Linked DNA regions of Saccharomyces cerevisiae S288C. The protein of the gene in region 1 interacts with the protein of each later gene in a biochemical or structural test. Each region holds a gene or a part of one and is shown on either strand. Other genes may lie near its edges. The genes, in order: GPP1 and CMK2.

Region 1 (17,497 bases):
TAATCCTCACAGTTTTGCCGAACCTATGCCCGCTTACCGTGGGACTTTCAGAAGAAGGTCCTCCGTGTTTGAGAACATTTCGAGATCCATTCCTTGGGCACATGCAACTGATTTCCAAAGACCAACTGTCAATACCGTGGATGATAGGTCTCCCGAAACAGATAGTGAAAGTGAAGTGGAAAGTATTATGTGATTTGGGCTGGACATGATATTTGCTATTGTTAACCTGCTAAAGATGCTTATTTGAGGAAGTACAAAGAAAAGAAAATAAAAAGTAAAAGAAAAAAAATGTAACAAAATAATATTATGCATAATCTATATCTTCTTTGTAAAAATAAGAATTTATATTTTGAAATATGATAGATTTTTTTAAGATAATCCGTTGAAGCAACAAGAAAAATCCAAACCAATTGAATTATGGAGTGGCAAACTCTTGCACTTTTGCATAACTTGGAGGATGTAGCCTTCTATAAATTGCCTTTGCCGTCCAGACAGGAAAGATCGAGATGAGTAATATAACTAAAAGTCCAGCATAGTAATTTACGGTAGTCATATAACCTAAATCAAAATAATCGCCAAGAAATGGAACCGATACAATGTAAAATAGTAAAGTAGCAATTTCAGTGACGAGCATTGTTTTATTCCATGTGTAGATTTCTAAGGCAACCATTATTAATTCATTTACAACCAAAGCAGTGAAGCTGATAGCAACCATCCTTGTGAAATCAGTATCTAATAAACTCGTAAAGGCCTGAGAAAATAATTGAATTACAGAACCTTGGAATAGCGATAATAGAACCCAAACAAAGAACGTCTTATATGATAAGCTCTTACCTTCAGTCAATTCTTTGTACAATTCTGGGTATATTTTAGTCAATGACTCTTCGATATCGTGATCAAGAGTTAATGAAAAGACTGGAGCCATTGTATAGCAGGTAGCATAACCGACCATTAACCAACCTTGATAAAGAGCAATAGGTTCGAACAACGAACAGATGGAATATACCGCTTGGCAAATTGCAATGATTAAACCTCTATGCATGACAAATTGAGCCAATTTAGCAGATCTTTTGTAAGAGTTCCTACCATGCCATAATAGTAATTCGGTGAGGTGACAAAATTGCGTTATAGAAAAATCAGCAGCTAAAGAAGCTTGTTTACCTTCTTTACCCACAATCCCTACGCCAACATCTGCACATTGAATCATACTAACATCGTTACCTCCATCACCAATACAGCATACCCTTTTGCCCGTCATTTTACGAATTACCAAAGCAACGTCTGCCTTCTGTTGAGGTGTACAACGGCAAGCAATAACAGTGGGTAAATGAACCACGACATCAAAAAATTCCTGTTCGTAATGTTTCAAAAACATTCCCAGGGATTCACCATCTATTAAAAGACAAGCATTTCTATTGATTTTTAGATACTCCAGCTGATTGAATGCACCTTCCGGTCTTGTGACTTTTGTTATCGTATGAACATATTGGCCACGAGATATTAATTTTGCACTTATGGAAACACAACGAGCAGTTTCAACTTTATCACCTGTCAGCATCCAAATCTTGATACCTGCGTTTCTTAATAACTCGATAGAGGACTTCACATCCTTCTGTAACTTATCTTCTACACCAGTTAGACCCAATAATTCAAGATCATGCTCTAAATACTTGGTGATAACTTGACTCATCTGTTGATCACGATTTAGCATTGACAAAGAGGCATCGTTGTATTCTTTTTGAAATTGCTCGTAAATTTTCTTGTTTAATTTTTTACGACCGATAACCAAAGTACGTAGACCTTCACGAGCCATATTACCTGTTTCTTCCTCTAGCCAATCATTGCTTTCCACAATTTTTGACATGACAGTATCGGCCCCTTTTTGCATAAACCAATATTCATCCAATTGCTCATCACGAACAATGATACCCATACGCTTAGAATCAGAATTAAATGGGAATACTTGTAAAATTTCGTAATTTAAAGTCTTACCAGAATGTTCGTGTAATAAAGAAATTGAATGGCGATCTCTTTTGAAAAGAGATAAGCCAACCGACTCGGTAAATTTAACAATAGCAATTTCATCAGGTGATGCCGCTTGATATGTAAGTTCGTCATCCTCAAAAGTGGGAGTAACGTTATGGCAAATTGCTAGAGTTAAAATCATATCACGTACACGAAAAGACATATCCTTTCTTGTTGTTGATAAGGCAACTTTAGAATTGTTCAAAGAGTCATTTTTAGAGCTCACCAGAGATTGTACATAGTCGGATACAATGTCTAATGTTTCCGACGTGTATGATACAGTACCCAAGTGTATTTTCTTCAATTGCATATCATTCTGAGTAAGCGTCCCTGTTTTGTCGCTTAGAAGGTATTCAATACGGCCTAAATCCTCTGGAATTGTACTCGTTCTAACAATTGTTTCAGGAATGGTTTTATCGTGTTCGATCTGATGTGCATAAACACTTTTGGCTAAATCTAAATTAACTCTTAAAGAGACAGGGATGATGGTAGAAAACAATATCAGATACCTCAAAATGTCAATGTACCAGTCGTCATTGTGGAAACCGGCAAATGCAACTAAAAGAATTGACAGGGCAAAAACACATGCACAAAGAATCTTGGAAATACTGTTAATTTCTAGCTCTAATAAGCCAGTTTTAACCTTAGCTGTAGTTGTATTCATAGCTTGCCTAGTATCTCTGCCAGTGTAGACGACACAAGCAATACAAAATCCACTGGAAGCTAGAACAGTATTCGCCCATAGAGTATTATCTACAGACAAAGGGTTTGAAGTGGAATCCTTATAGGTAACTTTACCTAAAAATTTATGAATAGATTTCTCAGGAGCAGAGGCTGTTATACTAATTCTGTTAATTAAGTCATTTTCAGATAGATTTTGGGTCAAGGGACAGGCAACACGTAGTTTCCAGTCAGTCTCCCCATCTAGTTGGTCAGTTTTGATAAATGACTCGCCTGATGGTTCACTTGATTGTAAAAGAACCAAATCAGCGGGAATACGATCACCTTTATGGACTTTTATGAGATCTCCAACTTTTAAGTCTTTGCTTGGTATGGAACGATTTCTCGTTATTACATGATACAGTTCATTGTTTGACTCTCTATCACGTCTCCTTCTCTGAATATCATCTATAGCTTCCTTTGCCATGGTTACTGTCAGCACAAATGCTAAAGGTACAATATACGATGATAAATACCCTATTCTTAGTGCAGGAACGGCCTGCGATAATGCAACTACTAAAAAGTATAAATTGTAAAAGAATTTGAACTGTTCATATAATAGGGTTGGCACAAAAGTAACGGCATTATATTTGGCATTAGATAGTTCATTCGAAACGTATCTATTCCTATCGTACACAGGAGTCGTGTCTGGATGTATTTCTCTTTCGATGTGTTGATCACTGAGTTCTATGGGTGAACCAAACTTGGACCAGTTTTTTGTGTTAGATACTTTTAAATATGAGAGGGCTTTTGAAAAAATATTGTTTGAAGACGACGGTGGTGACGAAGCAATATTAGTAAATTTGAAATTATCATCCTGCGAGAGGCGATTATCATACATCAAAGGATGGGTATCTGTGTTTGAAGACTTACGATGCGAATCCGAAGAATGGTTAGAAAAATTGTCTAAATCATCTACTGTTCTCATTTCAAAACTTTCCCTATCTCCAACAGTGTTATGCTTACTAAGTGGTTCTGGGTTATTATTAATTTGTAAACTGTCTAAAGCAGCGTCAAATGAATCGTCGAGATGTAAGTCAAAAGAATCTACACTGTTTGCGTGTTGATTATTGTTGGAGTTGAATAAATTCTGCTTATGTGACTTAAATGAAGGAGGGTTAGGCATTTGTCTCTGAAGTTTTCCGTGCACACTGATACCCCTTTCTTTTTCAGATTAACGTTATGCCACACAAGTGCTCTGATTGTTACTTTTTCTCAATTGCTTAACGGTATATTGCTGTTAATAAGCTGATTGTTGAGTACTGTATAAGCTTCAAAAATCCAGATGAAATCTTTTATTGCGTAGATCAGGCTTCTAATAGCAGCAAATTCAGGTGAAACAATGCCTAAAATATTAAATAAAAAATAGGTATTGAGTAATTTTGGTCCTCGTTTTAAGTAACGAATGTGTCCGAAATTCCCAAGATGTCTAACCTTTTGTTTGGCAGTGATAGGTCTTAGCCACTGTGCCAGTATTTACTCTTTCCAACTGCCTCAAAAAGGTATGGCCTTACCTTCGTTTTTAATGACACGTATACGAGCCTTTGCTGTCTAATTAGTGGTAAAGTGATAATAGTGAAAGTAAAGTGGTTCTTTACCGCGTCTATATATATATGTATATGAATGCCCTAGTGTGCACATTACTAGATTATAAAAGGTATTATGGCGTAGGGGGCTACGTGATTGTCTTTAAATTTGTGCCTGTAATAATTTTTTGTTTCCAATGCGGATATAGTCAAACTTGTGATTACCCAAACTAGTGTTAGGTAAAATTCTTGTTCATAGGGCAACAGAGTAGAATAAATGATTATTTCATCGAGATAATGAGGACAGCATACCAACCTGAAAAGCCTTCCTGTTGGCAGCGAATATTTAACCAGATTGGCCAGAATAACATGATTTTTGTACTGATCCCAAGATGCTATGCAGAATATGATGAAAGCATTCATGTTTAACGTATTTGGAATGGAGTTCTTGTACAGTGATATATTAAGAATTAACAAGAGTACGGAATAGAACCATATACCGACTAGATAATGGGACCAATTCATCCTAGAATTGCTTGTATAATGTAGTACATAAAGCGTTTCATAAAGTCGGCGCAATGAGTGTCCAAATATGATCCAAACGATGGGGAATTTAGGATAGAAATATAAGGTGACTAAGGATAGAAAGGTAGCCAAATAGTAAAAATGGGAAAAATACGCCTTTGGAACTGTGAACTTCTTGATTCGTTCTAAAATGCTTGAGTACTTTGAATTCTCTTTGGGCCGGTAGGTTTTACCATATTGAAGAAATTCTGGTAGACAACTTTTTGCTATGAAAAGTGAGCAAATGCCTACAAAAAAGGATAATCTATAGGCATATATAGTATATTTTAGCAATTGTTCTTCATCAAAGTACATTGGACTGGTAGATTCTACGTTTTAAGCCAGATCGGTCCGCCGATAAACCTATTTATATTCCACATTTGGTATATTTTTACTTTTTCGAAACGTCCTTAATTCTCATTTTGGAAAAAAAAGAGAAAGCATAATACTGAATAGAACAAGGACCGAATTTCTCTTTACCGGTAGATTATGATTTATTTGGGCAAAAAGTTTTTTTTTTCATTCTATTGCAATAGCTATCATTTCAGGAGAAATGCTACTAATATGAAAAACCACTGATTTAAAAGGAATATTAAATTATTTAAATATAACCGATATGTACGCGTTACGTAAATCAGAAATTGATATGTATAATACGAGTAACGGTAAGGGAAGGGCATGAATAATATGCAGGACAGCATTCTACTGGTCGTTCCAGAATTTATATAACAAGTTTGCATATTTCTGCATTTCTTCGACTGAAACCAATAACTTGAAATCACATAGTATCAGGAATTGTAATTCTAAATGGTTTAACTCTTGCAAAGAAATACCTCCAACCTTGGCGTATCGAGAGTTACTGTAAAAAAAATCACTCAAGAACTTCGTGCAAATTGTGACACCTGTTATGAGCAATCTATGAATGTTCCCGGAGTCCATGACGAATAATTGCTTTGCGCAACCATTACGCTCAGAAGAATGCCCATAATTTTTGGAGATTCTATCGAAATATACAAGGAGAGAAAGAAAAATATCATTTGTGGTGGGACAGTACTTTTGAATTCTCTCTAAGTACTGAACAACAGCTATCTCTGGAACATTCTTTCCATAGAAAGCAAGGATTGGAGTTAAGAGTTCGTCTTCGGTCTCATCCGACACTTGTTGTGAGACATCTGTAGTTTCATCGTTTGCTGTTATAATTCTGTTGAGTAGCGCACTTATCATTAGTATGAGTTCATCTGTGGGAAAGTCTGCTATGTTTAAGATCTTTACATCAGTCTGTTCATTTGTCTCCTCGTCCAGGCTATGCGTTTTTGCTTCCGACTCTAAAGACTTCTTTACAGCTTGTACAGGAGAACAATCTAGTAAAGATTTCGAAGAGAAAGGGCTTTCCAAACTGGGGTTAGTAGATATTTTGGACAGCAAACTACTATTGTTACTTGAAAATGGATCGGTCTTGAAGCTGTGAGAATGTGGTCCGATTATTAGGTTATCTCTATTCCCCCCTGGTATATTTATTGGCGATGTTGTGGTTTTTTTTGATGGTGAACTTAGCTCCATATTTTTCTCTAGTGTAAGCAGTCGTTCGTTCTAGCTCGGTTTGCTTTAGTCTGATTACAGTAATTAATGTCTGTTAACTTTTGTTGTACTATTTTAAGAACCGTAGATGAATATATAGATATACTTTTTGTATATATAAAGGTTTGAGATGTTGAAGCCTGCGCTGCTATCCCCTGCTTTGTTTACACCGTTTTGGACCCATCGCAAGATACCGAGATTCCGAAACCGGCCTCAAAACTCCCAGAGATTAGGCGCGATAGATAGTAATACCTTAAGCCATAGTATGCCTATGGATGCAAAATGCAATGATCACTGTCCATGTTATACAATTAAAAGAGCCCGTAGAAAAGTGCACAGGCGGTGATCTTAGAAGACCAGTGCTGCTTATTGGATAAGTCTCTATCATTGAAGGACGTTATTCACTTTGCTCCTGTGTACGCTCTCATTTGCGGAGATGCGATTCCGCCTCTGTCGCTCATCCAGCGAAAAACACACCGTATGGATCCCCTGATATATATAAATACATATGACTAAATGGGTCTTACACATGCATAAGAATTAGGTTAGCTAGTAAATTGTGTGAGATTTACAGGTAAAAAGGACAACACATACACACAAATATATTACCAATAATGTTTTTAAGAAATTCCGTTTTGAGAACAGCTCCAGTCTTGAGGAGGGGTATAACAACATTGACCCCGGTCAGCACCAAGTTGGCCCCACCCGCTGCCGCCTCTTACTCCCAAGCTATGAAGGCCAACAATTTTGTGTACGTGTCTGGTCAAATCCCTTATACTCCAGATAACAAGCCTGTTCAAGGTTCTATCTCTGAGAAGGCCGAACAAGTTTTTCAAAACGTTAAGAATATCTTAGCAGAAAGTAATTCTTCTTTAGACAATATAGTCAAAGTCAACGTATTCTTGGCTGACATGAAAAACTTTGCCGAATTCAACTCTGTATACGCCAAACACTTCCACACCCATAAGCCTGCAAGATCCTGTGTTGGTGTTGCTTCCTTACCTTTGAATGTTGATTTAGAAATGGAAGTTATCGCTGTTGAAAAGAATTGAAGGATTGAAACTTCTTTACTGCCTTTTTTCCACTTGCGATACCGAGGAGTGTACATTTATAAACATTTTAGTAGCATTCTTTAGCGTATATAAGATTTTAACTAAGAAAAGAAACGAATTTACGGAGTTTCAGAATCAGTTTCTTGCCGTTGTAGAAAATGTGAGGGGAGTTTCCCTCTACTTGTATCAATGTTACAAGACAGGGGTAGAAACCTATTACGTGTTGGAACTTATTTTCTTGAACACTCTAATCATAAATTCTAAAAAACTGTGACTGTGTTTTCGTCACAACTTTGCGGTGTACAGATGTCGTCACATACCGTGTGTTGTTTGGGTGTTTTCCTTTCAGCTTTTTTTTTTTTGAATTTTTGAATTTTTACTTTCATTTGCTTTCGGAGGTCCCGCTTCCGACAATAGTCCGCTTCATTTGTCCCTTCCCATGAAAGTTCATTCCTTTGGGCAGAGAGACCGTCCTTCTGGGAGGAGATGGAATTGACGCCTGGGGGAGGAGCCAGTAACAATTCTAACTCTTCCTCTTCCTGTCAGTGGCCCCAGCACCCGTTCAGACGGTATGGTAACGGGCTCTCAGGAGCCGTTTCATCGCAGCTGGTGGGTAAGTTTGGAATGTTTCAATAGCATTCTACGTAAAAGTTGATGAACTTATTAGTTGTAAGTAGTAAATAACGGGTAGTACATAGTATTTGGCACTTGTTATATTCTTTTGATTCAATTTACTTTGATTGAAACTGAGAATAGATTAGCAACGAACAACCCTAAAAATGGCTCAACGTGTTACTTTCAGAAGAAGAAATCCATGTATGTTACTGAACTATTTTTTTGAGTTTTCATGAAAACTTATTATGAACTTATTATGAACTTATTTTGAACTTTCATTGTGGGAAAATGAGGTTAAAAGGCGAACGAGTGCTATTTAGAGAAGCGTACCACTTAGAAATAGGAAGAACCAGATCATCGATAGGGGAATCAACTATGCAAGAACTTTCAAATATATTGGCATGACATTAAAACATTAGACAGCATGAACGAACAGTATCCAGTAATGTGGACAGCAATAAGTTGACTTCAGTTTCTAAGTGGAAGACCTTGGTCGACCCAAATGGAAAATGAATTTTTCTCCGCTGTTGAAAGATTGAAATGAGATAATATTCATTCAGCAACGCCGAAATACTTTTCATATGGAGCAATCCCACTCAAGTTCTTAAATCATAGGATAATAAAGAAGTGATTACTAACATTAATGGGAAAATTTTCTCTTTACTACGTACAGACAACACCCGTTCTAACAAAATCAAGGTTGTTAAGACCCCAGGTGGTATCTTGCGTGCCCAACACGTTAAGAAGTTGGCTACTAGACCAAAGTGTGGTGACTGTGGTAGTGCTCTACAAGGTATTTCCACTTTGAGACCAAGACAATACGCTACTGTCTCCAAGACCCACAAGACTGTTTCCAGAGCTTACGGTGGTTCCAGATGTGCCAACTGTGTCAAGGAAAGAATCGTCAGAGCTTTCTTGATTGAAGAACAAAAGATTGTTAAGAAGGTCGTTAAGGAACAAACTGAGGCTGCTAAGAAGTCTGAAAAGAAGTCTAAGAAATAAATTTAAATAAGCATTCCTTTTATAATTACTCTAACTTCTCGTCGTACTAAAAAAAAACACTTTTATAGTAAGATATAAAACAAAAACGAAGATTGAATCTTCCTTTTTTATTTCTGTGTTAAATTCTCTAAACCAGCTTGATTTGCGCGAACCACCTGTCACGGCAGATCATCCGAAGACGACAAAGAAAAGGATGCATTACATCGGTTTAAATTTTTCTATTCGTATTTTATAAGTATTATATTATATTATTAAGTCATGCAGATATAAAATTATACAATTGGTCGGAAATGGAGGGAAATCATACATTTTTATTTTATTTTTAGCGTAGTAGTTTTATCAAAAAAATAAAAGAAAATTACCATTTCAACAAGTCATCCTTAGCGTATAAGTAGTCATCAAAGATCAATTCGACTTCATCGGTTTCAGCGTTGTATTCACCGACTCTGATAGATTCGTGGTTCTTGACAATGATGTCACAACCCTTTTCCTTCAAGAAGTCCAAATCGAAAGTGGTAGCAATACCAACGATTTTACAGCCAGCAGCCTTACCAGCAGCAATACCAGCTGGTGCGTCTTCAAAGACAACAACCTTAGATTTGGATGGGTCTTGTTCATTAATTGGGAAACCCAAACCGTTTCTACCCTTTAAGTATGGTTCTGGGTGAGGCTTACCTTGCTTGACATCATTGGCGGTGATGAAGTATTCTGGTCTCTTGATCTTCAAAATGTCGAACCATTTCTTGGCCATGTCACGGGTACCAGAGGTGGCGACAGCCCATTTTTCCTTTGGCAAGGCGTTCAAAGCATTACACAACTTGACAGCACCTGGAACTTCGATGGAGTGTTCACCGTACTTTTCTGGGATTTCACCTTCTAGCTTGTTAACGTATTCTTCATCAGCAAAGTCTGGAGCGAACTTGGCAATGGCATCGTAAGTTCTCCAACCGTGAGAGATGTGAATAACGTGTTCGGCATCGAAGTAAGGCTTGTCTTTACCGAAATCTCTCCAGAAAGCAGCAATGGCTGGTTGAGAGATGATGATGGTACCGTCAACATCGAATAGAGCGGCGTTGATTTTCAAAGATAAAGGTTTTGTGGTCAAAGGCATTGCGATGGTTTGTATATTTGCTTTTGTTGTTCTGATATATTTTAAAACATTGAAACGTTTCATAACAAGGAAACTTGGAAAGAAAAAAATGGCAATCAAGAGATACTTACGAAAGATTTATATACATTATCAATTGAACGAAAATGAACAAGACGACAATATGAACAAAAAGGAAAGAAAGTGATTAACAGAGTAAGAAAAGAAAAAAAAAGGAAAAAAGAAAAGAAAAAAAGAAAAGAGGAACTCACACATCATCAAAGGTCAAAATGGTCAAAATGGTCAAAATTAAAAGACACAAAGGAAAAGGTGAGTAAGGAACAATAAAAGCACATACCATCATCAAACAGCGTTAAAAAAATTATGTTAATGATGATGATCGCAAGAGTAACAGTGATAATGGTGATGATGATTATTCCCATAAAGAAAACCGGACAATGAGAATCCTGCAATTTACCAGGCGCACGCGGGTTCGTGTATGCGAGAAAATGATACGGATTTCCTGCTTGTCTCACTATTAACGCGTGGCGGGGTAAGACCCAAGGAAGACAGACAAAAAAAGCCTTCGGGGCCATGCCATGTCATTGCCGTGGACTGAGACAATTACAATATTGCTTTTGTTCTCTTTCTTTTGACCCTGTGACGTGTTTCGTAAGAATCCCACTTAAGAGATGAAAAAGAAACGTGGTGGTACTTCGCACCCAGACCATACGTCTTCCACTCTCTTGATGGGAGCGGCGAGCTTCCGCACCCACACATTCTAATTGCCGCGCCTTCCTCCCACCCGTACAGAGTGATATCCCTTGGTACGATTGACCAGGGTGTGTGGCGCAAGCAAATTTTCCGTTTTAGTTCAATGATGTCTTAATTGACACTGCGCTTGTTTTGAGCGATGGGTTCGCAGCCCTGGAAGACCCGCAAAAAATTAGGGGAATGGAATATATTCTCTACTCCATTTTTCAAATGTTACCTTTTGTTTGTGTGCATTGTATTATTCCATAGTCGTAATGTTGGCCTTCTTTCGTGCGCTTTCCTAAAGGTTTTTACGCTTGCTTAACTGTTAAGTTAACAAGACTTCCTCCCACACTTGTTTCTTTCATTTTTTTTTTTTTTTAGATTGGTCTTGGCCTCCAGTTCAGTTGGCTGATACACGAGAGTTTGCTGTCTCTCCTTACAATACGCTTGCTTTATAATGACTCTAGAACCACACTATAGTGCCAAGTCGGCTGCTTCAGCCAGTGCCTTTGTTGCCCGTTCTGCGACCGAAAGCTCAACAGCAAGCACAAAAGCTGCTCCTAGGAAAAAGACGTACTCGCAGTCAAATGGTATTCCCATAAGGATTGATAATCTCCCTCCGGGCAAGACTTGGGCCCAGGTAAAATATTTGATAGGCGGAATCATATACCATACCAATATTTTACAGGTGAAAATGCTGCCTCCAATGACTTCCATGGTTCCTCCTTTTATTACTTTTCAGAGTTGCATTGTCATTCTGAAGAACTCGATAGATAACGAGTCCCTGGAAAACTTACTACTTACTTTGAACACCTACCAATGGGATTATCATGATCTGTTCGTTTACCTGTTGCCGTACACTAATGATTCTCCTTCACTGCGATATCCAGAAATCAGTGATAGCAACAATGACGTCCGGAGTGCTCCCGATGAAACTAAAAGATCTATTTCTCCTCGATATGCAAGCCATGTTTCATCTGTGACACCGCAGCCACCATCCGCTTCTACCCCACCTTCTCAATTTTTCAGTTTTTCTCCTGAAGTGAGCCTTCGAAAGAATGAGAACATAACGCCATTGCCCACGCCTGTTCCCGTACCTGTTGGTGTGCCACCTCTTGCTCCCCCGCCTCATGGTCCATTTTCGACTTCGATGCTACCTATGTTGGGTGCTCCTCCGGGAACGGTACCTAATATGCAGATGCCCTATCAAACTACTCTACCTTCACCAACAGCTGCTGCTACTGCTGGTGGTCCACTTGCTTCCCCTACACACTATCCCCGTCGTCGGCATTTCTATCACCAGAACCAAAGCCAGTTTCAAAAATACATGCATAATAGCCCCAGGAATCCAGATACTGGCACAGGCCCTCGTCTTTCTCAGCAGCATCACCTCTCCTTAAGGAACAATAAGATAAATCCCTCTTATAACGAAATATCTGCCCTTTACAACTTGAACATGGCCTCAAATTCCAATAATAATGGTAATATTCCCACTACAAGTACGAATGGTGATGACCGTGCCCTCCAAGCAAAGAATGGTGGAACAATTACACCTTCACAAACTCAAATAAATCACAAAAGATTAAAGCATATCTTTAACGAGAAAAGCTTTAGAAAACAAATGACGAATAGAGGTATGTGGCAGCTGAAGATCATAAATTTCCCACCCTATATACCTATAGAATTCTTGGAGAAATTATCAGAGTCTGATTTCAATGAGTTAATGAACCAAGAGAAGTTCACAGTTATTGAAATTAAAGAGAAAGGACAATTGGAAAAATTTGGAAGGCTAAGATGGACAGTTCTAAAAGATTTTATAAAACTGAAATGCCCCAAGCTATTAAGACTACAGGAAAGACAGTTTCTACAGCAACAAAACGAAGCATCTTTACTCAATGAATCTATGGACGCTCTAAAGATATCAGAAAATGAGAACACCAACGGGAGTGCAAATAATAGCACATACACAAATGGCGGACCTCGAACATCTATCAATAATACAAGGGAATTCTATGTAGGGGTTTATGAAGATCATGAAGAAGCAACTCTACTGAGGTTTGAATTACCGGAAGATGAATTAGAGGAGTTTAATAGAAATTTGCCAACTACTTTTGCACAAAGTGGAAACGTCTCTGACTCCGAAGGTGATAGCAAGGCGAAATACTTTAAAGTTAGCACAATTGTGTATAATGCCATTGTTGGGTTCCACGATAAAGAGCTGTCTGATTTGACGTTCGAATCCTTACAAGACCAGGAATATTCACTGGGGTACAAAATTCATGTAATGGAACTGCCACCATTTGACGAGGATGAATTTGAAAATCAACGGCAGCAGTTCTAAGCATGGATTAAGAGGATATTATTATTTTATCTTACATAAATATGTACGCGAATTGAAAAAGAAAAAAATATTGTGTAGAATGTGTATTAGGCAGTTATGTATGTAGACAATTTTGTTTTGTATTTTTATCAAAGTAAAGGCTGGAAAACCGGCTGTGGTAAATTGCCATTTTGAAAAGAATTTTTGTTCTTTGTAACGTATGGCGCTGGCACAGACTCGTTGTGGTCATTATTATTTGTGTTGGAGGTGGAGGTGCCAGTGTTTAAAGTAGTGTTGCTATTTTCTTCATTCATTGGCGATTTAGAGATCCTATTAAGGATGTTATCAAAGGCAGTTAAGCTTGATTTTTTTGGATCATCTTTTTCTTGTGGTACCAATGGAATAGAAGGCATAGAGGGGTTTTCACCTATGCATGACATTTTGGGCAACGTAATGGGCACTGGTATTTTTGCATCTTGTAGTGGAATGGTGGAAATGTCCTTAATTACGAGATGAATCTCGCTCGTGGAAAAGGAATCAAATAACTTTGCCAAACTTTCATCGTTCAAGAGGTTATCGTTATGGAAAATACCAAAATTCTTGTTCTTGTTGATAATATTAAATAAATTTTTACAGTTTTCCAAAACTTCAGACACCGTGGGTGGTCCATTGCTCAACTGGTGGAAAGTAAAGGCTTGCTCGCGATCATTAAATCTAATGATCACTCTGCGATTAACATCTTTATTGGCCGATTGAGGCTTCATTGGTAGCGTAGTTAAAAGTGTAGCTCTATTCGATAGAGTGTTATTATTATTCAACATAACGTCACTTGAAACGACAGGAGGGCTTCTCTTAACCCTCTTGTTAGGTGAAGATGATGGTGGTTCTGACGCACAGGAACTAGCCAAAGGATACTGAACCATCACAATATGATGTATGATTTCACTTAAAGGGTAAAGCGTGGGGTCGAAGCCAAAATCCTTGACAATACCACCTATGACCAAATACAGTAGCCTTAGTTGTACCTGAGCCGCGGGGAAATGAGATAAGTTATGTCTTGTAGCGGCACCGAACAGTCTTTGAGACAACAAAGCCAGATTTTCAGGAGAGCACGTCTTGGCAGTGATATACTTCATTGAAGAAGAGACCAAGTTGGAGAAAAATCGTTCGATAACGAATGCAATAGACATTCGGATTGACATTTCACCCAAAATCTCCAGATTTGCGTATATATCAATGGATCCTGCAGCCTGCGAAATGTCCTGACAAGTTCTTGATCTTTGGATTTGTAGGAGTAACTTTTCCCTCAGGAAAAATGGCACGGTAGAATCTATCGGGATGTTTGTGGTAATGTTAGGTTGCTGGCTGAGTGAAGACGTAGCAAAATGTGACAGGTTTGGCCCAGTATATGGGTCCTTGAGAGCTTGTTCTGATAGGGGTACGACATTCGTAACAAGATCGTGCACTAGCATGGTGACTATATCGTTATACTTTTGTTGGGTCGAAGTAACCGATGGAGATGAGTCATTTTGGGTGCCCACGGTTGGAAAAATGGTTCCGTTATGACTCTGGTGACTCATGAGAGGCTGGAACTTGTTTGAAAACTGGAAATCTGCAGCATAATTAGAACTAGGCAGGAAGTCCGAATTGGAGCGCTGGTAGATCGACGGAGAGATCTCGTCGTCAGAAGTAGAATTTGACGAGATGCTGTTGTTGACATTGCCGCCACTGCCATTGGCTATGCTGAGAGCGTAGCGTTTTTTTGATCGTTTTCTATTCCTTCTCACTGATTGCACAGCAGCAGTGACTAACTTTTCGAATTCCTTAGAGCAGCTTACAGGGTATCCAAACTCCGTTCTTAATATTGTAGCAATCTGCTTTATGTTTTGATCTTGTTCGCTTGCCTTATATTGACTTAGTTGGAATTTGTCTATCAGCTCCAGCCTTCTGCTCGAAAACTGTTTCCATTTCTTTTCATCATTAAAATTGAGTAATTCTCTAATCTTATGAGTTGCTCCATTCCCAGAAAACTTATTTATTCTATATTGAGTGAATGTTGGAGGACCGTTCATATGTGTATAGGATATAAGCAACGAAGAAGAATAGGTAGAAAGAGAATAAAGAAGGTTTTAAAGCTATAACTAGTAGAAAAGAAAAATGTAGGAAGGGAATGCGGATGCGTTTATGCTAAGATGCGATGGGGACAATAGAAAAAGAAGAGAAAAAAAAGGAAGAGGAAGAGGTAGTGGTATAGAGAAAGAGAGAGAAAAAAAAAGGCTAGTAGTATTTGTATAGTAGGGAAAGGGCTAGATTAGAACTGAACCAAGCTGACCTGAATTGACTCAATAACACCATTCTCACCCACACAAGTACCGAAGATCCAAAAGGCAAGAATCATGGAAGAGAGCACATTGATTTATAGTAAAAAAAAAAAAAAGAGAAGACGACGGTAGAAAGATTTCAGGGAACATATGGCTTACACTTATGCTGAAGAAGTAAGAGGGAGAAGCGAAGCAAATATAATCTGTCACAATGCACAGTGCGCAAACGTAATCTGCCCACTCAGCTAATAGCTCCTGCCATGATTCTGCTGCGTAGTCTATATGAAAGGAAACGAAGGTCAGAGATGAAAAAGAGATAAAAAAGAAAAGAAACTTCTCCGAGGGGCGCAGAATTCAGGGCAAAACAACATGGAATCGATCAAAAGTCATAGTCACCCACGGAAACGTGGCGCCTATTCCGTGGCAGCTACCCGCCCGCCGCTTGTTCTCAGGGCACTTGTCCACTGCATTCCGATGTTCCGCGGAAATTAGCACGGCCTCTTATCCCCGGCTCCGCACGATTCCCTGTGTCCGTGCATAACGAATGACTCTTGTGTCGTGTTATCCGGGCTTTCTCCTTTTCCTTTCCCCGAGAAAGCAACCGACGCATACGGATATAAGCGGATCCCACCGAAAAGGAGACTCCACGGTCTTGGTGAATAACATCGCGCAGATTATTCTGCGAACCGTGGCTAATAGGAGCATGCCCGAAGAAATGATTATGGGTGCGTGATCACCAATCTGTGTGAGGCTGTCGAAGATATCTGATAATCAGTAAGCGATAAAAAAAAAATAAAAATAAAAAAATAACGACACCAGCAGGATTTGAACCAGCGCGGGCAGAGCCCAACAGATTTCAAGTCTGTCGCCTTAACCACTCGGCCATAGTGCCTAAAACAATGTAGGTTATTTAAGCAAGTATTGTAGATACTTTTCGTAATAAACTACAATGCACCCACGACTCGCGGTGTAATGATGGCATGAAATCATTGAACGAAGTTTTGCGGCTATACGGCTGAAGGACGAGACTAAAGGGACAGGAATTATTAATGCGGGGTATAATTTGAATAGTATTAACGGGCACTGCCGTTTAGCCATCAAATGCTATTGTTGGGGTATTCTCTCTACTTTTTGTTCTTGGCTTGAACCTTTTCGGCGGTTGGCAATCGTCCGTATATAAGCATCGGCTGTCCCAATCCTCTATTGCCCTTTTCCCTTGCACCTCCTTCTCAATTCTTCGTATCTTTCGCGTAAAGGTAGATCTTGATTCACCTATCTGTCGAAACACGATTAAGTGCAAACGAAACAACGTACAGTATATAACAAAGTATTTTAAATAATAAGAATGACGAAAAAGGATAAGAAAGCAAAGGGTCCTAAGATGTCCACCATCACTACAAAAAGTGGTGAGTCCTTAAAGGTTTTTGAGGATTTGCATGATTTTGAAACATATTTAAAGGGTGAGACGGAAGATCAAGAGTTCGACCATGTCCATTGCCAACTGAAGTACTATCCACCCTTTGTCCTGCATGATGCGCATGATGATCCGGAAAAGATCAAAGAGACTGCCAATTCGCACTCTAAGAAGTTTGTTCGCCATTTACACCAGCATGTTGAGAAGCACCTGCTAAAGGACATCAAAACCGCTATCAACAAGCCAGAATTGAAATTCCACGATAAGAAAAAGCAGGAATCCTTTGACCGGATTGTTTGGAATTATGGCGAAGAAACGGAGTTGAACGCCAAGAAATTCAAGGTGTCTGTCGAAGTTGTATGTAAACACGATGGCGCAATGGTAGATGTTGATTACAAGACAGAACCCTTGCAGCCACTCATCTAAGTTTGGGGAGCTGTTTTTATGAATTAACGAAATTTTATGAATTTACGAAATATAGCATGCTATATAAAATAATTTATATGCGCATGTATTT
Region 2 (12,731 bases), on another chromosome or scaffold:
ACAGATCAACAAGGTTTCGCAAACGAAGTAGATCTACTTCCCACAAGAACAACTTCCCCTGATATAAGGATAGTGCCTACTCAAAATATAGACACATTAGCAATGAGAACAAGGTCAACCTCTACACCATCTCCTACGTGGTATACGTTCCCATTACATAAAACTGGTGATAATTCTGTTGGGTCAAGCCGATCAGCCTACGAATTTTTGATCACAAATTCAGATGAGAAAGAAAATGGTATTCCTGTCAAATTAACAATAGAAAATCACGAAGTAAATTCTCTGCATGGAGACGGGGGCGAGCAAATTGCCAAGAAAATTGTCATACCAGATAAATTTATCCAGCATATCTAGATTGCATGTTTTATATTATACATAGTTTTTTTTAAAGAAAAAAACTACTGGATGAAAAACACACACACACACACATATATATATATTATACATCAGCGGAAATTACTCGATATCTAGAAATGCGTACACATGCTACATCGATCAGCTACGTCTGACCGAATACTTTTCAATAGTAAAAAAGGGGGCGAGCTGGGAATTGAACCCAGGGCCTCTCGCATGCTTTGTCCCCCTGTTAATCAGGAAGTCGCCCAAAGCGAGAATCATACCACTAGACCACACGCCCGATCTTTTCTGAGAACCATGAAAAGACTCAGAATTTATAATACACATCATGGCCTTCCAAAGCAACTCAGCCTATGTTGAAATGTAATTCTAGTACCATCCACTTATTATTGGTATTCATGTTACTAGTATATTATCACATACGGCATAGGAAGGTGACATAATGATTAAGGAACAGCTATCACATATAAAGGAAGCAGAAATCCTAAGGTTGATAATGCAATAGGATAATAAATGATAACATATAAAATGGAAGAAGAAGTAAACATTATCATAATATGTAGATATATCGACTCTCCTTTTGTGAATTCCTATATACTCAAGAAGAACTTCCAGCATATTTTGTATATTTAATATTATAACCTGTAACAACGATGAAATTCCAACAATTATCTCAAAATCACTCATATTTCAATTAGAGGGATAGTAATAGAAGAAGAAATCTGGTCCAAAATTCTTTTAATACTTGGATAAGTAAGTTATTCACGTAACAAAGGCTACACATTTACTATTCTTTCATGTAGAAATGCAATAAGCCATCTACGGTTCGTGGTGGAAAAATACAATAAAAAAAGAATCACCCGTAAAAAAAAGCTATGGGGGCATTGAATTGATATTCATCAATTACAAGTAAAACACTCCAATTTTTTGTCACGCTTATTAGAATATTAGCCTATACGGTGCTAAATGTGACATAGATTCCAACTCTCATCGAATTCAGTCGGAACAGGCGTGCAAATAACGTACTAGGACTAACAAGCGATAATACAGGAAGGCATGAGGAAATAATTGCAGACATAAGTAAAATCATTTCGTTATTATGAAGTCTATATTGTCGAAAAGCTTCTAATCTCTATACATAATTCTCCTAGGTCATTTAGAAACCAACAACGAGAAAAAAAATAATTGTAAAAACATAAATTTTGGACTGATTATGCCCTTGAATAAATTAATAATTAATGGCTGCTTCAGAATGTATTCATACACATATGCAACTTTATCTAAGTGCTCAAATATTAATGAGCTTTTCTCATAGTATAATGCAGATAAAAAATAATACTAATAGAAAGTACTGTAACATATTCGTTGGCTTCAGTGAAAGCGCATCGGACAGAGCATAATTCCTGGCATATGTTCTACCACAATTCCAATAATCGATGGGCGAACTTTTATTTTCTGCCACGTTAATTGAAGAGGAATAGCCGCAATCCAGGACACCATGCCAAGTAGATGTTGGCATATCAGCTGAGAATGTGGTTCCTGGAACCTTTTTAGTCAACGTTGCAAAAGCTGATTCATATGCTCTACCGCATGCCCAGTAGGCTTGTGCGTCTTCTGTTTCGTATCCAGACATGGCCGTATACATCACTCCCATGTTACCACAAAAAAAATGATGTGGTCGCATTTGGTGATAATGAAGTAGAAAATGTGGTTGTGGGGGAAGTTGTTGAATCAGACATTCTCACGTTACTTTACTTTTTTTGTTAAACTGAAATCTTTAAATAATCAAAGAGTTCAACGTTCGAGTAACTCTTTTTTGTTCTACTTTTAAGTAGCTTCACTTTTCTGAACAATTGAAATAGTTGAACAATTGACCACGCTACAACGGAATTTTGATAAAATAGCAAATGATGTTTTAATATATATAACTATTTATTATTTATGGTGGCTAAAAAATTTTCAGGTTTTCAGGCGACCTCTTCAGTATCCATTATATGCCGCGACAAACCCTTTTTCCAAAAACGGTCATCGATGTTTATTCCGAGTAGGCTCAGTTGCCTGCGCCCGGACCCTTCTTAAGGGGAAGTTCTCGAAACTTTATGTAATTTTAAGTTTAACATAAACTGTATAAGCCGCTGTAACACTGTACCAAGATAGGCGTTTTAATTACGGCCTAGATTGTTTAATATTTTGCTTAGAAATAATAGGGCACAAAAAAACATTCGAGGCTTAAAGTAGTGTCACATAAAAATGTGTCTTCTGGTACTTATTAGAAAAGGCTTCCCAAAAAAAGCACAAAAGAATTTAGTATTGAATGTTCATGCCCCTTGTCGGAATAAAAACGGAAAAAAGGGAGAGTAAACTAGTCTGTTGTAGCAGTAGGCAGTGATGATTATTCCTGGAAAAAATCAAAGATTCTGTCTTACACAACTTATTCAGTACAGTTTCGCTAAGTAAGGAAAGAAACTTTACAAGGGTAAAGTAGGTAAAGTTCTAAACTATATGTCAAGGGTGTCCCAAAATAAAAACTAACAGTACTTAATGAATAGAGTTCCTGGGATTGTGCTGATCCCAGTTTTCTTTGGCAGCTCTGAGCGCTTCTGCAACTCTATGTAGGCAATTTTTAAATCGGTTGACTTTTTCTCTAGATTTGTTCGGTAAAATGAGGTGTTCTTGTGATAAATTTTCTCTTTTGTTGTCACTTACGTCAACGCTCAGCCTAGGACATGATGTCTTAACCTTAATAGTTCTTCTCGACAATATATTTTTGAAATGTTCGTAATTTCTGAAGAAACTATTTTGTTTTTCAACACATACAGAACTTCTCCTCATGACAACACTTCTTACACTTTGATCTCTACTAAAGGTAGAATTTGGTGAAGCTAGATGGACTGGATAATATGGTGATGATTCCGATATTATTTTCAAATTAGGGGTCAAAATTCTGGACCACGTTGAAGGTTCCCCATACGGATCAGGAGCTGGGTTTGAGCAGACCCAATTTGCTGTTCTTCTCGAGATTGTCTTTGCAATAGCAGGAGTTATACGTTGCATTTCGGCTATCGCTTGATTAGTAGTGTCTTTTAAGGCACTTTCGTCGCTGGAAATTACTGTTGCATGTGTCAATTCGATTGAGAAGGGGTTACTATCTCTTGTGGCCTTTTGTTCCGGAAACGTAAGCAGTTTATTGCCTGAATCAGTAGAGACAGTTCTACCGATTTTTTCAAACTTCCTCTGTGTGGTGCTTTGTTCATTGCGAAAATTTGATCGGTATAAGCGATGTGTACGGTTTAAAGTAAGTTCTTGAAGGGTAGGATTGTTGCTTTCATTAATTTTTTCTAAAGAAAAATTACTTCTCAACAAATATTCAGTTTTTGCTGACGTTGTAAGTGGGAATTCGACGGAGAATGTTTTATCATCGCAAACGTTCTCACTTGTGCATGAACTTTTTGTTGTTTTTGATGTAGTGGCGTTCTTTCCCTTTTTATTCAATATCTTTTTCGATATATAGTGTAAATTTTTGGTGTCACTGTCTAGAGAAAGGAAAGTCTTTCTTGGTGTCTTTTCCCAATTTACAGATACTCTATAATTTACTGTCGTAACCGCAAAAGAATCCACTGAATCTAATTTTGACCATCTTATTGTTCGTTTGAAGGAAAAGCATAAAAATTTGCCGGTAAATTTTCCAATTTTCATACCGTCACCATGAAAAACTGCTCTTTTATCGTCAATAAAAACATTTGGAACATTAACGTTAGTTCTCAAATACAGAATTGCCTCGCCGGTTTTTTCATCCTTTACGCTCTTATATATGAGATCGTGGAAATGCTTGACAAACAAATTATTTAAATTTGCATGAGGTTCTGCAAATAGCAACATGTTGTTTTTAATCCTTCCAAGAACTTTTTTCATTAGTGCAAAATAGGGAGTGAAGACAGCATGGAAAGCGCTTTTTAACGTTTCATTCGTAAAGTTCAAACTGTTCACGGAACATTTTCCAGGCCAGTGGAATCGTACCCAATAAACAGTTGGACATAGAACTAGGACTGGCATACACTCTTCCATTTGGAGAATGGATATTAGTATAATGTAAATATAATTGATTTCATCTGGATGTCTCTCAAAGTCAGCAACGCTGATTCGTTGGATGTATTTGTTTGAACCTGCCAACAGCCTGAAGTACTCTAATTTTTGTTTGTATGTAGCGAAATTAGTAAATTTAGCCAATCTTAGCATGCCTCTAGAAAATGATATATTGATGCTTTCGAAGCCTGGTAATCTAGAGTATTCAATGAACATGATTGAAAAAGCACTAGGCCAGGTGATTATACCGCAGACTTACGGTAATATAAGGGCAAGAGAACTAAAAAAATCAATAATGTAGGCTTATATTACAGTTCTTTGTGAGATATTCCTTTCTAGAGCGTTTTCTGTGTCCACTCAATTAATATATACACTTCCCGTATCCTAACATTTACTGACACAATGATAGGCACAACGCGCGAAGGAGCGGTGGGGCTTTGAACAATAAGGACCCTTACATAGAAAAGGCGTTAGAACAACAATATGGTTAGGCCATAGAAACCTCGGTGTCTTTTAGGAACTTCACAGAATAGAACATACTGCAGTAGATATAAATACACCACTGGGGCAATGCAGCCTGGTTTTTTCCAAATATACAAAACACTTCATGATACTTACTAATGGTCGTTGATACAGTACTCATTGTATCATTGCAGGAGAGTTAGGTTGGCTTTTTTGCATTTATTTATTTATTCATTTACTCAATTGACAGGCAATGTCAATGATTTTTTGGAAGAAATTTGCCTAATGTTTTTACTCAGTTACTCACCGCTCCCTGGATAACATAAGGTTCATTTGCTTCCGTACTGATTTTTTTTGGCAGTCTATAAGCCACTATGTACTTCCCAATGCTCCTGCAGGCATATTCTTTTTCAATTTTCATGTTTTTACTTCCAGTCGTTGAGCATCATATGGATTCTATGTTGATGAGGCTTTTCAGAACGTGCTGTACTTTCGGAGAAGCGCCCGCTTTAACGCAGCGCGAAGAGAATAATTGAGGCTTATCTTAGAACCCTGCCCCCTTTGAAGCCACCCATTGCTGTTTCTCTTGGTAATCCTAATAATATAAAACAATACGATATTGTTCAAGATCAGCAGAACTTCAATTCGTTGATCAATCTTTTCGTCACCTTTTCTTCTATCACATCGCCAATATAAATATAGACACCAAAAATGCCCAAGGAGTCAGAGGTCATAAATTCTGAATTTCATGTAGATGTCCAAGATCCAGAGCGTCTAAACGGCCACCCTGTAGCAAAATTTATCAATAAATTAAGCGGTCAACCTGAATCTTACGTCAACAGGACTAATTATATTTTCGGTCGAACACTGGGTGCCGGTTCCTTCGGTGTTGTGAGACAAGCCAGAAAGTTGTCCACAAATGAAGATGTTGCTATAAAGATCTTATTGAAGAAGGCATTGCAGGGAAACAATGTGCAATTACAGATGCTGTACGAAGAGCTGTCCATTCTTCAAAAATTGAGTCATCCGAACATTGTGTCATTCAAGGATTGGTTTGAATCGAAGGATAAGTTCTATATTGTCACTCAGCTGGCAACAGGAGGTGAATTATTTGATAGAATTCTGTCTAGAGGGAAGTTCACAGAAGTGGATGCTGTTGAAATCATAGTTCAGATTCTTGGTGCCGTGGAGTATATGCATTCCAAGAATGTTGTTCATAGGGATTTGAAACCTGAGAACGTTTTGTATGTTGATAAGTCAGAAAATTCGCCTCTGGTAATTGCGGACTTCGGTATAGCTAAACAATTGAAGGGGGAGGAGGATTTGATATACAAAGCAGCCGGATCGTTGGGTTATGTGGCACCAGAAGTCCTCACACAAGATGGACATGGTAAGCCTTGTGATATATGGTCCATTGGTGTGATCACATATACTTTACTGTGCGGTTATTCTCCTTTTATTGCCGAAAGCGTTGAAGGATTCATGGAGGAATGTACAGCTTCGAGATACCCGGTAACCTTCCATATGCCATATTGGGATAACATATCTATTGATGTTAAGCGTTTCATCTTGAAGGCATTGAGATTGAATCCAGCTGACAGACCAACTGCTACGGAATTGCTGGACGATCCATGGATTACTTCAAAGAGAGTTGAAACTAGTAATATTTTACCAGACGTTAAGAAAGGGTTTTCTTTGCGTAAGAAATTACGTGACGCTATTGAAATTGTGAAGCTTAATAATAGAATTAAGAGGTTAAGAAATATGTATTCATTAGGGGACGATGGCGATAACGATATAGAAGAGAATTCCCTCAATGAAAGTCTTCTGGACGGCGTCACACATTCGTTGGATGATTTACGTCTGCAATCTCAGAAGAAAGGGGGAGAACTAACAGAAGAGCAAATGAAATTGAAGTCTGCATTAACAAAGGATGCCTTTGTTCAAATTGTCAAAGCTGCAACAAAGAATAAACATAAAGTTTTGGCTGGTGAAGAGGAAGACGATAGCAAGAAAACACTGCATGATGATCGGGAGTCGAAGTCAGAAGACTAAATTACGGACTTGAATTCGTGTACATAAATTCGTATATAATATTTAATGTGTAAAGCTAGTGACGATTTTATGTAACCAGCAGCTACACTTCATGGCATTCAAACTATAGACCTTTTCTGGCATTACGCCTCAAGCTTCTTTTTTCCCGAGAATTATCTTGTAGTTGCCTAACGGGTTCTGAGAAGATCTCTATATCATCACAATTCCTATCACAATCTTTAGCGCCATTGTGTAATTCTCTTTTCCCAAAAGATTTATCTGTCCTATCTTCACCTTTTCTTGTCAATGTATTCTCCTCACTCAGATATTCTGAATCATAGTCATCGCTAACGTCAATGTCAACTTCATTTTCACTTTCCTCGGAAACGTCACCATTTACATCACTCGAGTAATGCACCGTGGTTCTTCTCTGAGAGCTTGTTCGCAAATGACGTCCTTCAGTACTGCCTGTAGGGGCAGCAGTTATGCGCTGAATAGTCTCATTTATGAATATACTGAAAATTTTCAAAAACTCAATTAGATTGTCTATACCCTTTTTTGTATCATCGGTGTCATTTTCAGTAAGTGATGATAAACTTTCCAAATACTCAATGAAGTTGCTCAAAGAATTCGAGTCTCCTGCAACTTCAAACCAATGCGGCACCTCGGCAAAGTGAACATCATTGAACTGTAAATTACGGATACATGCAGGAGTGTTCCTATATATAAGTTTAAGTTGACACTTGTTTTCATTTTGTGCGGTTTTTGCAGGCAGTATTTTTGTACCCTCCTCTTTGAATTTTACGAAGTAATTAAGATAAGTTGACATGTCATTGAAACTGTAACTAGTGTTTACTGAACTGCATTCGTTGCCAATCCAGAATGGTGGTAAGTAGAAATCTCCAACTCGTGGAATTCTCGCTATCATAAACTCTGATGTCCTTAACTTGTAAATTTCGTCTACGGTGGGATCATCAATTGGTGTGTGTGTAAATTCGTTTGCAAAATATTCACCCCATTCTTCATTTATTTTAACTGCAGCTCGTAATCTGTCTGTAGTTACTTTTTCGCTCAATGATTTCCGAACACCCTTTAGAAATTTCATCTGACTATTGATCTTACTCAGTTTTCCTTTGTCGCTGGGCTTCCTTTTCTTTCGATTTTCCAACTTTTGACTCATCAAAGAGCATAAAACTTCACAACTATCTAATATGTTATTGGCCCCGCACATAGCAAACCTGCTGGCGTGAAAAGTTTGATGGTTGAACCCTGTATCGCCTTTCAAGTGAGTGAGCCTTTGAATTTCATTATGGAAAAGTGCGGAGTAGCTACAATTCCAATCGATCATGCATCTCAATAATATTATTCTATCTAATGGTTCCATCGTCAACAAACCACCTCCATTAAAATTTAGAGTAGATAAAATATCACTATTACCACGCCATTCTTTTGGTAAGCCCCACTCCTGGATTAAGCTTCTGAGTTTGCCAACCAGTTTTCCATATGGATTTTTCAAACTAAGAAATCTTTTTAGCGTGAAATTTCTATGAGTTTGGTTGTCTGCTCTTTTCTCGGAGCAGAATAATAACCTCAAAAGACTGCAAAATAGTAGATTCATTTTATCCTGACAAATTCGAATATTCTTCGCAGAATGGCCAGCCACCTTTAATTCTAGTCCTATCTCCACATCTTGAAATGACAGGTTCAGTAGATCGTCGCTGAACACCCATTTAAATTTGACGATAAAAGAAAGGATCTTCATAACATCGCCTGCATATGGGAGAGGGGTGCAAAGGGGAGGCGCCCAATTGCTTTCCGTTACCGTCTCATCACTCATAAACTTTGCAAAGTCAGAATATCGTAAAGGAATATTTGGTGACCAGTTTAATGTATTCAATGGTCTATTATTAGAAGTAGTGTGTTCACTGATCGACTCTACCTTGTTAGTGTCGTTCGAATGTGTTTTGATATTAGAATATTTGCTTGCCATATTTGCCTCCATTTCTTTAGTTTTCATTTCTTCATCACAGGTACCTTCATATTTCTCCCGCTTTTTAGTATTTTGGGTAGCAGCATCCAGTGATTCGTCAATTGAACTATTGTGAGAAAGTACAACAGGTTCTTCTACAATTTTGATGTTTCTGAAATCATCAAAGGTCAACTGACCCCTTCTTTTTACCCTAGGCTTTGAAGACTGGTTTTTCTGTTGTTTGACCATAGGTTTCTTGATAAAGTCATCGACCAAGTCTAAATCAATAATTTCTGTCATTATTGTACCTCAAATTTCTTGTTCCTTATTTTCTTGTTTGATGTCTAAAAAAAAGAGATATCCTGGTAATGAGCAGGCCGTTTCTTCAGCTCATACAATCGAAAGCTTAAGAGTTAGTCGTTGATATGGTATTCTCTAATACCGAAAATAACTTAGTACATATAAACGCGTAAAGTTCACGCGTTTATATCACCCTACCATATGACATTCTAACCCTACTAATTTTTTATCAAAGCTAATAGGGTTGTATTTTATTATCTTTTACACCTACCTTTTTTTTTTGTATATGCCCTATAGATGAATTATAATTGTTGGACCGGTTTGTATTGGGCTTTTAAGGTGTAAAGTGAGTGCGTATAGATTATAGCAGAATAGACTATAAGTACGGCAAGACAGGAAAGTCTCCAATTGATGTACATTTTATCGCTTTGTGATCTAGGCAGTCGTTACAAACATGTTTAGAGATAGAACTAATTTATTTTTATCATACCGTAGGACTTTCCCTCATAACATAACTTTCTCATCTGGGAAAGCACCCTTGGGCGATGATCAAGATATTGAAATGGGTACATACCCGATGATGAATATGTCTCACGATATATCGGCCAGATTGACAGATGAACGAAAAAACAAGCATGAGAATCACAGTGATGCGTTACCACCCATATTTATTGATATAGCGCAGGATGTTGATGATTATCTTCTGGAGGTGAGACGGTTAAGTGAGCAGTTGGCGAAGGTTTATAGGAAGAATTCGTTACCTGGCTTTGAAGACAAGAGTCATGATGAGGCGCTGATTGAAGATCTAAGTTTCAAAGTAATTCAGATGCTGCAGAAATGTTACGCTGTTATGAAACGATTAAAGACCATATACAACTCTCAATTTGTGGATGGTAAGCAATTAAGTCGAGAAGAGCTGATTATACTAGATAATCTACAGAAGATCTATGCAGAAAAGATACAAACTGAAAGTAATAAGTTCAGAGTATTACAAAATAATTACTTGAAATTCTTGAACAAGGATGATTTGAAACCTATCCGCAATAAGGCCAGTGCAGAGAACACGCTATTATTAGATGATGAGGAAGAGGAGGCAGCAAGAGAGAAGAGAGAGGGCCTCGATATTGAAGACTATTCAAAAAGGACGTTGCAGAGACAGCAACAGCTTCATGACACTTCTGCAGAAGCATATTTGAGAGAACGTGACGAAGAAATTACTCAGTTGGCAAGGGGTGTATTAGAAGTGAGCACTATTTTCAGGGAAATGCAAGATTTGGTTGTTGACCAGGGGACTATTGTGGACAGGATTGATTATAATCTGGAAAATACAGTGGTAGAGCTAAAAAGTGCAGATAAAGAGTTGAATAAAGCAACACACTACCAGAAGAGAACTCAAAAATGTAAAGTCATTTTATTACTAACATTGTGCGTAATAGCGCTCTTTTTCTTTGTTATGTTGAAACCACATGGCGGTGGCAGTGGTGGTCGTAATAATGGTAGCAACAAGTACAACAATGATGATAATAAAACAGTTAATAACAGTCATGATGACGGCAGTAATACCCATATTAATGACGAAGAGAGCAACTTGCCGAGTATCGTTGAAGTAACAGAATCTGAGAATGATGCTTTGGATGACCTACTTTGATGACAAAACTTTCACGGTACCGCATCGCGATTTTGAACTATAATATGCTTTGAAGAAAATTGAGAGATTTAGTCAGCGTTCATATGACCTGTTGCTCGTTCTATTTGAGAAAAGTGAAAAGGTTAATATATGATTTCAATAAAGTATGTAGTATGATAATAAAATACAAATTTATATGGGATAAAATTGAACCGCAAGTAAAGACTGGCGAACGAATATTGTGCATAAGTAGTTCCTGAAGATGATAAAATATGGTTTAATACAAGTTGGTGGTTATTGTGATTTGTAGAATATAAAAAAAAAAAAAGAACCTTCATTTTTCTTTTTTTACCTAAATCCGTAAGGATTGTTCAGTGAAGTAGTAGCTCGGGGCAAGTTTTTGTTTTGCATTCTCCTCTTATAGGCAGGCTTATATCCTTGTGTTATCGGGCTTTGGTTTGGTAAAGGATTCGGAGCAAAACCGACGCCTGGTACCGGATTTCTGTGCTGTGGCACTTGGTTTGGGGCAACGTTGAAATAAGGATTGCTTTGTAAAATAACATTAGAAGGATCTGGACCAGCAGGAGTAGTTCTTTGATATAAATTGTATTGATGATATTGCTGCTGTGGTTGCTGTTGTTGTGGTTGTAGTCGTTGTTGGGGATACACTAATGGCGCCGGGTGTGGCTGACCAGCGTACGGCCTTATATTTGCAGGACCAGCGGCTGTTTCTCGAGGCATTTGATTGTATACTTCCGGATTGACACCTCTCTGTGATATTGAAGTCAACGTTGAATCTTTATCGTTGTAGGAGGACATGCTGTTGATGTGGCTATCGTTTGGTTCATTGAAGGAGGTCTCCATGATGTCGTTTAGTAGTCTCGAAGGATTTCTGTGCGGTATGACCTCTCTTTGAGAGTAGTCTGAGGACGCTAATGATGCACTGGATGATATTTCCGTTTTTCCTAGCGGAACTTTATAGTTTATATTGTTGCTGGTGTTACTACCATTGTTTCTCACATAATTATTAGAAACACTCCCATTTTTCAAGCCACTTTCACTTTCAATGACAGAATACGTTGAAGTTGACCTCCTTTTGTCATAGGCCATGCCATCGTCCTCTTCTTCATTAAGTCCGGAACCATTTGAATTTTCCATGTCCTTTGCTTCTTTATCGAAAGTAGAAATATCAGACGTGGTAGAAGTGGTTATGTTTGATAATTTCGGATCTTGATTGTGTGAAATAATATCTGGGACAACAGTGATATTAGTACCGTTCTTAAAATTGTCACCCAATAAATTCGTTCTTGAATCACCACGGAGGTTGGCCTCACTATCAGCGTCGATATCGAATCTCCCGGACTTCGAACTTAGATATGGGTCATTCAGCAGCATGCCCTTTTCTTCCAGTTCCTCGGTTTCGTCATCATCCCTTGAGCCTGAGCTTCTTGAATAAGCTGAGAATATCAAAGGAATTACTAGTAGAGATAAAGCAGCTCCTGGTATCAGGACCCATGAACACCAGGTTACATGTGGGTAAAACAGTAAAAATACCACGATACATATCAAAGAAGCAGAAAGAAAGCCTAGAGTGGAAAATGTCAAATTAACAAAAAACATGATGGCAGACGCACTACCAACTCTATCACTGGATAGCACGTTAATTAATAAAACGCTCATGATGGTACAAAGAAATCCCAAAAAATTAAGACCAGCAGCAATGGGTGTGATAAAGATGATTTTCCCCAATATAGACCTAGCGTTGCTATTGAGTTTCCAGTTGCTATCACTGTCTGATAGCTCATCGGGGTGATAATTATAACTTGCTTTTGAGCAGGAGCCCTCTTTACAGTAGCCGAATGTACCGTATGTGATCTCATCATATTTAGAATAGCCTAT

Evidence for each region.
Region 2: the proteins of GPP1 (region 1) and CMK2 form a complex in vitro, tested with the Saccharomyces cerevisiae proteins (one large-scale study listed by BioGRID).

What each region holds. Positions count from the first base shown.
Region 1 is NC_001141.2:247,811-265,307, reverse strand, and holds GPP1 (glycerol-1-phosphatase GPP1), read right to left. Parts: upstream 10,194-17,497; coding exon 9,441-10,193; downstream 1-9,440. Other genes in the region: SYG1 (Syg1p), read left to right, coding at 1-193; aminophospholipid-translocating P4-type ATPase NEO1, read right to left, coding at 416-3,871; DFG10 (putative polyprenol reductase), read right to left, coding at 4,389-5,150; PCL7 (Pcl7p), read right to left, coding at 5,538-6,395; isoleucine biosynthesis protein MMF1, read left to right, coding at 7,028-7,465; 60S ribosomal protein eL34 RPL34B, read left to right, coding at 8,245-8,281, 8,754-9,082; YIL054W (uncharacterized protein), read right to left, coding at 10,448-10,765; YIL055C (uncharacterized protein), read left to right, coding at 11,383-13,266; VHR1 (Vhr1p), read right to left, coding at 13,395-15,317; RGI2 (Rgi2p), read left to right, coding at 16,912-17,406. UniProt on the Saccharomyces cerevisiae protein: Major isoform of glycerol-1-phosphate phosphohydrolase involved in glycerol biosynthesis. Plays a role in osmoadaptation and required for adaptation to anaerobic conditions.
Region 2 is NC_001147.6:289,003-301,733, reverse strand, and holds CMK2 (calmodulin-dependent protein kinase CMK2), read left to right. Parts: upstream 1-5,613; coding exon 5,614-6,957; downstream 6,958-12,731. Other genes in the region: E3 ubiquitin-protein ligase HRD1, read left to right, coding at 1-354; YOL014W (uncharacterized protein), read right to left, coding at 1,667-2,041; IRC10 (Irc10p), read right to left, coding at 2,896-4,656; ESC8 (Esc8p), read right to left, coding at 7,061-9,205; t-SNARE syntaxin TLG2, read left to right, coding at 9,660-10,853; TOS7 (Tos7p), read right to left, coding at 11,181-12,731.